Linked DNA regions of Neodiprion lecontei. The protein of the gene in region 1 purifies or fractionates together with the protein of each later gene. This does not show direct contact. Links are inferred from orthologs where the notes say so. Each region holds a gene or a part of one and is shown on either strand. Other genes may lie near its edges.

What was found.
Region 2: the proteins of RAD50-interacting protein 1 (region 1) and vesicle transport protein SEC20 purify together in Homo sapiens (co-immunoprecipitation; 3 studies listed by BioGRID and IntAct, counting the BioPlex papers as one, with this or other methods). This does not show direct contact. The link is inferred for Neodiprion lecontei from reciprocal best matches to the Homo sapiens genes RINT1 and BNIP1.

What each region holds. Positions count from the first base shown.
Region 1 is NC_060264.1:28,622,730-28,629,018, forward strand, and holds RAD50-interacting protein 1, read right to left. Parts: upstream 4,685-6,289; 5' UTR 4,541-4,684; intron 4,458-4,540; exon of another isoform or gene 4,366-4,457; 5' UTR 4,321-4,365; coding exon 4,192-4,320; intron 4,059-4,191; coding exon 3,820-4,058; intron 3,687-3,819; coding exon 3,513-3,686; intron 3,350-3,512; coding exon 3,215-3,349; intron 3,120-3,214; coding exon 2,858-3,119; intron 2,740-2,857; coding exon 2,514-2,739; intron 2,312-2,513; coding exon 2,146-2,311; intron 2,073-2,145; coding exon 1,907-2,072; intron 1,827-1,906; coding exon 1,606-1,826; intron 1,531-1,605; coding exon 1,365-1,530; intron 1,270-1,364; coding exon 1,136-1,269; intron 859-1,135; coding exon 681-858; 3' UTR 510-680; downstream 1-509. Other genes in the region: glucose dehydrogenase [FAD, quinone]-like, read left to right, coding at 4,888-4,959, 5,136-5,335, 5,505-5,616, 5,694-5,828, 5,921-6,033, 6,156-6,289. UniProt on the Homo sapiens protein: Involved in regulation of membrane traffic between the Golgi and the endoplasmic reticulum (ER); the function is proposed to depend on its association in the NRZ complex which is believed to play a role in SNARE assembly at the ER.
Region 2 is NC_060260.1:13,380,309-13,386,671, forward strand, and holds vesicle transport protein SEC20, read right to left. Parts: upstream 4,383-6,363; 5' UTR 4,120-4,382; coding exon 4,036-4,119; intron 3,063-4,035; coding exon 2,648-3,062; intron 1,226-2,647; coding exon 1,038-1,225; 3' UTR 534-1,037; downstream 1-533. Other genes in the region: Kv channel-interacting protein 4, read left to right, coding at 109-307, 436-483. UniProt on the Homo sapiens protein: As part of a SNARE complex may be involved in endoplasmic reticulum membranes fusion and be required for the maintenance of endoplasmic reticulum organization. Also plays a role in apoptosis.

The DNA.
Region 1 (6,289 bases):
AGACAACGGGATGATCCAGCGTTTCCTAGTTATTTTAAAAAATTACGCTGCTACAAGGGAAAAAAGAGTGATGTGGTTGACTGTGACTGACGAAACTTATCTGCTAAAAATTTGTTTACACAATTGTTCGTACTTAAAAAACACCACATGCCAAAATTATTCTCTGCCTTTTTATTGATGGTATGAAGTGTTCTGATAGTTTAGAAAAGACTGCAAATATTTAGTTTAAAATCAAGACAATGTATTATGAATTCGCAAAAAAAATTGCATTACTCTATATTTTAGATATTAGAGTGCAATTTTACTATTAGTTGATTCCATATGCGTGAGAGTCGTTTTTGATTTGGAATCTTGCGAACATATTGATTAAATTTGCGGCATACGACTTGCTATTCGAATGACAGAGAGAAAGCTTGATTGTCGTGTGGTCCGAAGTCGTACTATTGTTTGAATACGTTTACTTATGGATAATTGTATTATTTAATAATAGAAAGAAAAAAAAATGTATCTACGCAGAACTTGTTTTATTTTTTTAATGTTTAATATTCATATATAAAAGAAAAATTTTCAAGTTAAATCGCAATTATATTATTGTATACCCAAGGTGTGAGAATATCTAGGCTAAGCTTATTTTTCTTTATCTATTTACAGTGGAAAATTTATTTTCTCCATTTCGTTAGTTATTGCGAACTTATATCAGTTCTGTTTCGTAGTACTGTTATTGCTATGTCTTCTGTCATTTTATAAATTCCAACATCCGCTAGTACTTCAGCTGTATCTTCGTTACCCTCCAATGCTTCTAACAAGAGCATCGCTGAACCTAAAGCCATGTTTAAAAGAATCGTGGCCTCCTTGATCCTGTGCAATATTCATAAATTAATACAATCACAGAATAATACTAGCGCAAATAATAGATTAATAGATCAAAGATTGATGTTTGAAAAAAGTTCAAGTTAAGAATAAGTTTCAAAATAAGAATCTCTACCTTGGCGATTACAGACTATGTAGCTCGCACTTTCAGTATTTCATGGGGATTAAGATTATTAGGCTATTCGGGTCGTTAGCACGTACATCATTACTACAATCTACTGTTTTGGTTTCCGGACATAACTATTGATGGTTTGAGTATACTTACAGCGGAAAGTAAGCTTCTGGCTTGTTTGTATACAAACCAAAGAGCGGAAGGAGATTTCTGACAATATCATATTGTAATTGAGCAGCTCCCCCAGAGTTGAATTGATTGACCACAGCAATCTCCTCTAGCAAATACTGAAGAAAGAAAATGTCGATTACGTTAATCAATTTTGTCATCTTATAGAAAAATCGTGCACAATGTAGCATAATAAGCTAGGTTTGTAACCTACTTGATCGAGTTGCGCCGCAAGATTCTTCCAAGTCTTGTTAAACAACGGTAGTGCAAGAATGTCTTGAAGTGTGTTAAGACGAGCAGCCAGCTCTTGAAACATGGGACAACCACTCGGGGTTACGGATAACGACGCCAATTCTTTTTCTGATTGCATTGCAAACCATCTACAATCAGTAACTAGGATTAGATATTCAGGGTCAAAAACTTTTATTGTTGCAAGTTGATGTATTTGATATTACTTGTCAGTTCTGTACGGTCTGCTTTTAGCTTTCACATCCAGTGCCACAGAGTTGCTTATTTCGTTCACCAACTCGCGTTCCAACCTTTGTAGTAATGCGAGAGCTTCGTCGAATACAGAATCATCTTCGTCCCCAGGATTTTCAGAAGTTTCAGCCAATTTCTCTACAGACAATTCTGTTACATCTGATTGTTTTTTGAAATAGTGAAGCTGCAAGAAGTGCTGAGAACAGAAAAACAAAACTCAAGGTATTTTACTTGTCTGTTCTTGCACCGCTTGTTGCTTTTCACTTCTTCACTTACAACAGTGGCACCCCATTCTTTGAGAACACTAGATACATAGTGCAGTGTATTCAAAATTCGAGGCATGATAGAAGTCAGCGGATCTTCATAATCCTCGTGCAGCAATTGCAGCAATCGAACACGCCAATCGTCCACCAGTTCTAGCTGTAGTTCGAGAAATTGTAACCTATTGGGTGAAAAAATTGATGGATTGTTAAGGAGGATGTAACAAAGCAAGAAAGTTGATATTTATGACTCACCTGTGACCAGGTTGTGGCAGATGACTATATCTATCAGTGATAGTCATTAGAAGAGTGAGAAAAGCTTCCGCACACTCCGTTACTTTCATGTCGTCTATATCTGTACCCATTAATCTTTCCCATGCGGTCTCAGAGCTCAAAATAGCGTCCATTTTTTCCGTTGCATCTGCAATATAATATTCAAGTCACAATATACGTAATATTTAATTTTTAACACACTTTAGACATCTTGCAAGTCGATTCGTTTACACGAAAGTTACCCTGATTCAAATAATAGTACATTAAGAATTCGTTTTACATACTCCATGGAATATAAAAACGTCTAAGAGTAGAAAAATATTGCTCATTGTCGCTAGAGAAATGCTTACATTTCTTCTCCATATTAACCCATTTGACAAAAATCTGTGCTTGAGTTAGTACAAAAACGGTGGCTGGTTGACTAGCTGGATATAACAACGTGTCTCTTAACTCTCTTTCAAAGCCTAGAGCCTCGTCGATTAGATGTGCGAAGAGAGCATCGTCGTACTGCATGTTGGGTAATTCGGAATATAACTTTTCCACAGCAAGTTGGACCAGCCCTCGCATGAATTCGACCTGGATAAATTATTTATGAAAATGGAACAAAGAGAAAATTAACTGTGAGTTTTTTTTCTCACGAGAATCTAGCCTTTGTTTTGTTATTTAAACACATTTGAAGCGAACTTCTAAATACCTTAGCATTGATGTGATCAAGTCCCAAAGAATTTGCGATTGGTTGAACATTCATCCTCACCCATTCGGTGTGATCTCTGATCCATGTAAGTATCTGAGTGAAAAACCACTCAGGTTTGTCCAAACGGTTAGTTTGTTTTGCACCTGTGAAATGGTATATGAATCTACGTCTAAGGGGACGAATCAGCAGTAAGATTGGCAAGCTCACTGGTATAAAATCGGTTAGAAGCGACGAGGTAACCGCAGGTTTCGCTGTTTCTTCTCTATCCGTCAATCTGAGTTAAGGATCAATTTCAGAGTTCATAGGGAAGTTACATGATTTCGAGCTACATCAATTAATTCTTGATGCAAAGGATACGGTAGCTGCAGTTGCAGCAAGTATTCCGTAACTGTGCTGAACCTTGCCATTGCATCTAGCGAAGGAGTAGTCGACAAATTCAAATTGCTGCCACAAAATGGCCATTTCAGTGCCTTCAGAATTTCGTTGTATTCTCTGTAAAATTTCAAGGATTGTAGAAAAGTAAATACCAGGGAGCTGTGTTACCTTGATCGAATAATCGATGATGATTTTGCCTCGATTTTTTTGACCAAGGTAAACATTTAATAATAATAGGTATTCGTGCTGTTTATTCAAACAATAGCTCGCCTGTACTTACGCTGTAAATTTATCTTTGAGATAATTATGCCAAAAGTGGAGAGTGTCGTGTAGATAAGTTACAAGATGATGACAAGTGGACGATTGTAATTGTGAATTTCTTTCCGTCAAGTTAGCGTACAGAGTTATCGTCAGCTTGTCATCCTTTGCTAATAGAGAACCCTCTATTTCATCACTGTAAAATCAATGATTTTTTCAGTTAGTCGACTGTATAAAGTACAAGAATTTGGAAAAGTTGTATTAGTTTATCGAACGTCGAGTATTTTCTCATCGAGTCAGAGTGTTAAAGCTAAAGTATTGTTTTGTACCATATATCCTCGATGGATTTGACCAAGTACAAGTACGACAACGCTCTTTGTAGCTCTTCTATTTTATCAACATTTTCTCGAATCCCATCAATTTTGGAATCCTGCTGAAGCTGTTCAATGAGAACTTGTTCCAAATCATTGCTGATTTTTACCAATTCTTCTATTTCATTGTTTATCTTATCAACTCCTTCTATAGCTGCTTTAACCTTTGACGGAGCCTCCGTTGATGCCAGCGACAGCTTACACATGGCAAAAAAATAAATGAGAATATTAATCAGATATAATTAAATATGTAGCATTTTCTGTTGAATGATTATTTTTTGAATGATTTCGTGAATGAATATTGAAGTAAGATACTCAATTTTGACTCACCGATTTTTCGATGTTATTTCTCTCGTGTTGTAACCGCTCGTGTAGTTGAGGAATTTTTCCAAGGTTTTTTAAATCCGAACCCAATTCGGCGTTGAATTCTTGTATGACTTTGACCTTGATTGGATCCATGATTCTTATCCCAATTATTATCACGTATCATAGCTCGAACTTTGGCTGAAAACGGTATAATTTAGCTTTCGAAAATACCAAGTTACGGTATGTTCGACATATTGGCTTCGTTGACGTTTCACGCATCAGCGAAACATAACCTAACATAACCTAACCTCTGAACTTGAGTTTCATTCTACGTGTAATTAACCTAACCTAACCTAACATAACATAATCTAACCTCCAAATTTACATTCCGACCTATGCCTAATTTAACTTGAAATTTTGCGCTTCATCCAAATCCGTCGAATATCGATGATTAGTTCACATTGTTTTATACAGTTTTATTAAGCACCTTAAATGATGCGATGCAAATTTACTTTTAAAAATTTCACTCACGGTGACAGTTTTTAGGACATGCGTGCAAAGATTGGAGCCAATTATAACATATATTTACAGTTTATGGCGAGAGAGCATTGAACTGTTTTGACACTTGTTTTTTCGAAATGATTTTCATACTCAAGTACTCCGTTTTTATTATTTACGGAATTTTGATATTTTTTTTTGTAAATTATCTCAAATTTGCAGATATTTATGATAAATACTTCAACTGGTCCTACAATGATATGGAGAATTCAAAACTCTATGATTATGTTATCGGTAAGTTCTTTCTTTCTGCTGTTTCAATCAGAAAGGAATTCTGAAAACATTTATTTAGTTTCTTAGTTTACACAGAATATCTCCTCTTTTATTTATCACAATTTGATTATCCGTCCTCCCAGAGCTCGAGTTCTTTTGCCATATGCATTATTCCAACGATTCTTTAAACATTTCAGTCGGTGCTGGCAGTGCTGGGTCTGTAATAGCTGCCAGATTGTCCAAAGCTGGGGAGAAAACTTTGCTATTGGAAGCAGGTGGTGCAGTTCCTCCATTCTTGAATATCCCTGTACTAACTCCGTTATTGCAACAGTCTGTCTTTGACTGGCAGCATGTGACCGTTCCACAAAAACATGCTTGCAAAGGACTAATCAATAATGTACTCTTCCTTCAGTCGTGGTCAATTGATTCTTTCTCCTCTTCTCCTCGGAATACTTTATTCTGACACTTGGTTTACTTGTTATATATCATTCGATTCTTAAATATCGTGTTCAGAATTGTCAGAATATTTGTTAATTAAATATTGGATACATGGAATTATATTACAGCAAAGCAAGTGGCCGATGGGAAAAATCTTAGGAGGATCGGGTAGACTAAATTATATGGCTTACGTTCGTGGTCACATCGCTGATTACACTAATTGGTGCCCCGATCTTGAGGGTAAAAACTTATCACTGTGACTTTATTTTACGTGAAAAATAATTAAATAATCCTGATGAACTTTTCAATCACCGCAGAGTCCGTAGACAAAGAAACCAGTTCTTTGAATGTACATTGTGATAATTGGTATACTGATTTGTCGGACGCTATATTGAACGGAGCTGCAGAACTGGGACAAAACGTTGGAAATATAAACAGAGATCTAAACATTGGTTAGAACCGTTGAATACTAAAGAAAACAGAAAAGAAAATGGTGCTTATTCTACTTACTGGTTGCTTTTTTTTTTCTTCATCTTTAAATCAGGATTCATGAAAGTGGAATTGACCTCAAAGGATGGAGAGAGATGGAGTACCGACAGATTGTTACACAGGGATATTGAAAAATTAACTGTCATCGCTAATGCTCATGTTAATAAGGTGATGAGACACCATTTACATCAAACTAAAAAGTATCTTTGAACAGTTGATAGCCATTTTGCTCAATGTCAACATCCTAATCATCGATATCGCATGTAATCATTTAAATTTCATTCCTAAAGGTTTTATTGAAAGAAAAGAAAGCCGTTGGAGTTGAATTTGAGAAACTGGGTACTCAGCTAAAAGCCTTCGCCACAAAGGGGGTCATACTCTGCGCAGGAGCAGTTGGCACTCCAAAGCTATTGATGCTGTCTGG
Region 2 (6,363 bases), on another chromosome or scaffold:
TTCTATTCAACTAATCTTATTTTGAGTACCACGTGCTGGGTGCTTAAGCGTGACTCTTTAACGACTGGTATTGCGATCCGATGTTGGTTCATTTTTTTTACGTTACAGATTGTACGACATGAACGGCGATGGTCACATAACGAGGCACGAAATGTTGTTCATAGTATCGGCGATTTACGAGATGGTGCGAACAAGTCAAACTATACAACGCGCGGTGAACAGACACGTTGATAGACTTTTTGAGAAAATGGATCTGAACAAGGATGGCGTGATATCTCGGGAGGAGTTTATGACGTCATGTATGAATGTACGTTATTACAAGCAGAGTTGCAGTAACTTTCCATCAAAATCAAAAACAAACTCGTATTATTATCTATCCATGGATCACCGACATTTATATCGAACTCAATTATCTCACGTGTATAATCGTTTCAGGACCAAAGTATATGCACGCAGCTGACGGTCTTCGACGATCTTTGGTAACATCATCGATGAGACGTTTGTTTAATATGCAATAATGTACTCGATTCTCGTTTGCAGATTGCTATAAAATATATTTATTCACTTAACACCGGGTTTACAACCTGGATACTGCACGTATAAATATTAGATACATAATATACTAGAATTGATGCTGTAACATTAACCACAGTGCACTGTCACGTACATTATACGTTTCTCCGTTAACGTGCAAATTGCATTGGAATGTTCAGTGACAGAATTTTTATTCTATGAAACGTTTTCAATATTATTTTTAATATTGAAGTATGATTGTAAAACTGGTTGATTAAAGTACTTCAACGCCAAACTCGTAATATGCAATTTTCCTACAACCACAGCACTCATCGCGAACTTACGTCAGTTTCGGTGATAAAAACATTTGCCCGAAAATGTACAAGCTGTACACAAAACTATTCAGCGCTTCGAATGATACAGTTTTTTCAGTTCTCTGAGCACGGATTACAGAAGGCCGGGTGTATATAGTTTCAGTTACAAGTAAAAACCAATGAGCTTTATTGCATTTCTCTGCTGTGTAATCAGAGCAATCGTTTCTGAAGAATGTAAAATACGCAGGCTAAGAAAAATGCAAATGCTAGAACTAGCAACGCTTTATCGGTAAGTTCGCGCCGACCGTATTTTCCCAGGAGCTTTCCAGACTGCACAATTACCTGCTGCTGATGTTCAAGCTCATCTTTCGTCCCGGTCACTTTCTCCGACGACGTAACTGCAAGGAAATACATGACAATGTGTAATTAATACGCTAATGTGTAAATACCAGTAATTTCCACACTATACGTTTTACCTACATAAATGTGATTTTACAGGTTCGAGTTCGTAACGTTAGTACAAAAAAATATTTTCGAAAAATCCTTATTTCGCAAGTTTACAATGATTAAAAATACGGCCAATACTATAAATAACATAAATTTAAAGATAAACGTATCAGTTTACAACTACGACCTCTTACAGGGACAAGATAATTTTTAACAAGCAAAATATAATTTTTCATATTTCACTATTTCGTTACGTTAACGTTACGCAAAAATTATTTGCGTTGATTTTTCTGATGAATACTGTTTCCGTTGCGAAAATAAATAAATTGTCAACCTCCTACACCGCAAATTCAATCTATTTTCTATCGTAAAGGTTCTCTAAAGATGGGAACGGAGCAAATAATAGTCCAAAAGTGGAAAATTGAATACAACGGTCTTTGTATCGATCGACGATACGGTAAAGCTTGAAGCGTCGGCTGAAACTTTAGATTTCCTCAATACATTGTATTTATTACATTGTTGAAGTTATTCATCGTCTGGTAATCTAGTAAATACTTATTTTATTCAGATATACAGGGTGTTTTCAAGTAAACGGTGCAGTATGTTGGGTTGCCTACTACCGAGGGGAACGAATATCGGTAAAACAGACCTGCCGACTCGCTATCACTTTAGTCAAATCAAGTCATATAATCACTTTAACGTGGCTTCGGAAGGCGATCACTGACCGCTTCGGCATAGGTTACAAACCACGGAACAACTGCTTGGCCAAATCCACACAACTTGGCAATATGGGCAGTTCCAGCTCACTCGCGAGGACTTTAAACGTGCTACCTACCGATGACTCGTACCGATATTTGTTCCCCTCAGCGACAAGCAACTCAACATACTCCGCCGTTTACTTGGAAATACTCTGTATATGTATATCAGATTATGCAATAAAAATACGCACTGAATTATTTCTTACGGAAAATGAATGCAACAATAAACCATTTCTAGATTGGCTTCTTGTATTTGAATTTCAGATCACATATTGGCTTTTTGAAAATATTATTTAATTGCAGAACATCTTTTTGATGAACAACGAACGCAATTACGAAATTGTTATAAAGAAATAATGATGCCAGTAATAAAATAATAATGTTGCGCTGATTACAGAGTAATTTTAACGTGTGTGTATATATATATACACATATTGTATATATATATATGTATAGAATACCTAGTTTACCTTGCGAGTCTCATCCAAAATATTGGTAAAAAAATGTTGGTTATAAGTTTTTAATTACAAATTTTTGTCAAGCTGACTGAATCCTGTGATAAAACTAACGTATATCAGAGAATAAGGGGTGAAATATAAGGTATAAAGTACGTACTTAGGGTGTCTAAGGTGTAAGCGCTTTTTTGAGTGGTTTCCGCCAGATGCCTAGAGATGCCTAACAACTTGTCGGTAACGCCGCCTGACATATTTATCAGTGCTTGTTTATCTCGCCGTTTTCGTAATGCACTCTGATGTCCGTCGGGCATCCCCAATAATTCATCCTTAGCCATTCTGTCGATAACACAGGCACTGACAACATTAGCGTTTCGAAAGGCGGCTAAGGTAATAGTCAACTGACTTTTATGACTCTCTATTTCTGAATAAATCTCCAATTTCCGTTTATCGCTGCGTTCTTGGAACGCTAAGCTCTCCAAACGCTCAATACTTGATCGCAGGGCCGCTATTTTTGCTCTGCCTTTTGCATTTAGCTCGTTCAATAACTCTGTCGATTCGGTGCAATTTTGAATATCCTGAAATCAGGTAGTTGCGATTGGATACATATGAATAGTTAAATCAACTACGTTGAATTAGTTTCATGCAAAATATATTATTAATTAGATAGATAATTTAATAAGGATAGAATTCGATTAAGCTGGAAACGATTAATCAATAAAGCAATTAATTGAAAGAGCATATTAAGTGATTAATGGAGAAAATGATAATAATCGAAGTTTACAATTAATTGATGAATCGCACAGTCCTGATAACGCGGGTTAACGTGTATGTATGTATGTATGGTAAGATGTACGGGCCGGTATATTAATAAAAAATTTAAGGGGGGGGGGGGGGGGGGGAGGGTCGCCCATCCTGCAAATGTATCTATGAGAAGTAATGGGCGTCGAAATTTGCCAATCTTAGTTTGAATACTTCAAATTAATGTAATATCATACGTTATAGCCCTTCCTTGAAAACATAAAATTGATTTTGATCGGTTATTCAACTCTTTAACAATTTGCATCTGCATTGGTCATAATGCAGAAGTTGCATAAATTTTTTACATTTTATATTTTAGTAGTCGAGGGAAAATAATTCGACAGCTTATTTTTGTTGTCCATTTGAAGAAAAGTTAAAGCAATTTCAACAAGTTGGAAAAGGGTACGGTGAGAAATCATCCTTACTCAAGTACACAATATCGGTAGACATGTATCAAAGAAATGGAACTAAATTGCGCATAACTTTCGCAATTATCGTTTTTGGTGGAAAATAACCGACTCGTCCATGGAATTATCAATGGAAATTACAATGCTGATCAAATCGGTAATGATAGGAAACTTCTGTACCGATCAAGTCTACGAGTCAAACTTGTTCTGTGACATGTGCTACCCTACCCGTCAAATTCTCCGTTTTTTAAAGTACCAGTACGGCCACCAGCTCTTCAAAATTCGTATTCCACCATTTTCGCATATAATTCAAGTAAAATTTTTTCAACGCTGATGGAGTTACCTGAATAATAGCTTTCACTTGTAGATTGTTATTGACAATTTCCTGTCGCACCAAGTCCAGCAAATGTTCCTCAGAATTCATCATGTAAATTATGTACGGCGAATGACTCAAAAAATTAATTCACTCGTTACCAGGTGACAGATATCCGGAAATTTCTCAGCAGATTTACCGGAAAAATTCATAAGCCCCGATGATTATAAGATTTTAAGAACCGGCACAAGTACGGAACTCTTCACACCACCTCTCTATATCCTAGAGATTTTCAACGTTTGAGGTTGTGTTACACTGACAAAAACAAAAACGGTGCTACATAAATTTCGAGCTAGCAGAATACAACTTTGCTCTTCTAGTTCCGATGAGTTAGCATTGGCGTTACATGTCACTCCTGCCTGCAGTGCCATCTGGGAAAAATTTGACTAACGAAAACTATTTGCTTACCCATTAACGCGTCAAGAATTCTGCAATACCGACACTTGTTAGATTCACGATAAAATGTCTCGGGAACTAGCGCCCTCTCGATAATTTTAATGTAACGTCTGCAGTCATTGCGTTCATAGGATTCGCCAAGTTTGAAATTCATTCCGTCGAATCCTAATTAATTATTGATCCTAGTCAAATTCATGATCACTATCATTTGCTTTCATTTTCAGCACGCTATCATAAAAAGTTAAAGGCATGATGTAACTTTGCTTGGTTTCACCTGCATAGATTTATCGTCTTTTCGTAGCAATGAAGTAAGCACCATACAAAGAGTAGTTCCTCTCTGGATACGACGGTAAAAATCAATCGAATTTTCATGATACCGTATTTTCTTCCAACATTTTTTTGGTTTCTTACGCTTGTCCCGTAAAAGTATTGGGTAATCAGCTTACATCATGTAGTTAATGTTACGTGACCCATAAATGCGAACAACGTAAGAAAAATGCGGTGTTGACTTCTATACAATATTTTTCGGTCTTAGTCTAACGCTATTTCATGTCAATCTAATACTTCCTGTTGCTAATTTATCATTCTCTGACGTTGAAGTTCTGAATTGATCATGAAAATTGTTCGCCGGTAGTTCATACCGCTCGTTTTAGCCAATTTTAATACCGCCCAATTTTAGAAGGTAGAGTTAAATCGGTCACGCATTTTATTCCGCAGCAAGAAAGTGTCCCCTGCACTGCACGTACGACAAAATTATTAATAAATAATACTTCCACTCGTGCATCACATCTATTATATGGACGCATGATACATAAGTCTGTATCATAAACCGCATTTTATCGTAGAGAAAAGCCCGAAAAAATATCTTCTTAGAATATAAGAACGATATAATATTTTTCACCGTAATCGGTTTATACTTACTGAAAGCGGACTCAAGCTTGTTTGTTTTCGGCGGTTATTTTTCCAATGAGAAAAACTAAGAGATAGCTGGAATCGAGCAATACGCGTATTTAATCGAACGAGAATCTGTCCCTCCATAAAGCTGATACAGTTTACCCCAGAACTCGTGTAAGGGTTTTAATTTTGATGAAAATGAAACTGGTTTCGAAGGCAAGCATTTTTTTTTATATATAATACGTAAAAGTGGCACCTGGTTACATAACATCATACGAATGCTGAAATTGAGCAGGTTCGTCATACCATTCTGTATGATAAACGTATAAATATTAAAATAATACACTCTAGTTAACATAATTAATAGAACTGAGAAATAGAAATAAGATTGCGTATATAGTATAATATATGTCAAGTTGCATATTTAACGATGCCATTTCAATAATTATTTCACTACAAATAATAACAATAAATATAACTTATAACGTGCAGACTGGGACTTCCCTACCAAGGAGCAATATGAAACGGTAGCATTCGCTCCAAATCGTACAGGAATGGAACATACATGTACATAACAGAGTTAAATTATAAGTCATTCAAATGCAACTATGTATTACAGAAATAAAACAGATGCAGTGTTGGAAGTTCTTCTTTACCCGTAACTTGTACTTTAGCTTCCCAAATATTATATTATGCCGGTTACAAGACAATTTCCTGTCTCTCTACCGCATTAGCTACTTCTATCTAGCAATACTGTATTTGTATTATACAGAAATATATTATGACGTTAAGTGATAGTTGGTGAATAATTACAAAATCATTTCAGTCCAATGTGGGCATCGAGATAATCCATAAAGAAAAATTTCCCGTTGTAGCGACAAAATTTCGGTCTATAAAAAAAAAAAAAAAAAATTATCCATTATATCCAGTTCTATATATCACAAAAAGCATAAAATTTGGCAAAATATTTCATTGATTGGATAAATAGAGTTTTGTTTAACGTATAAT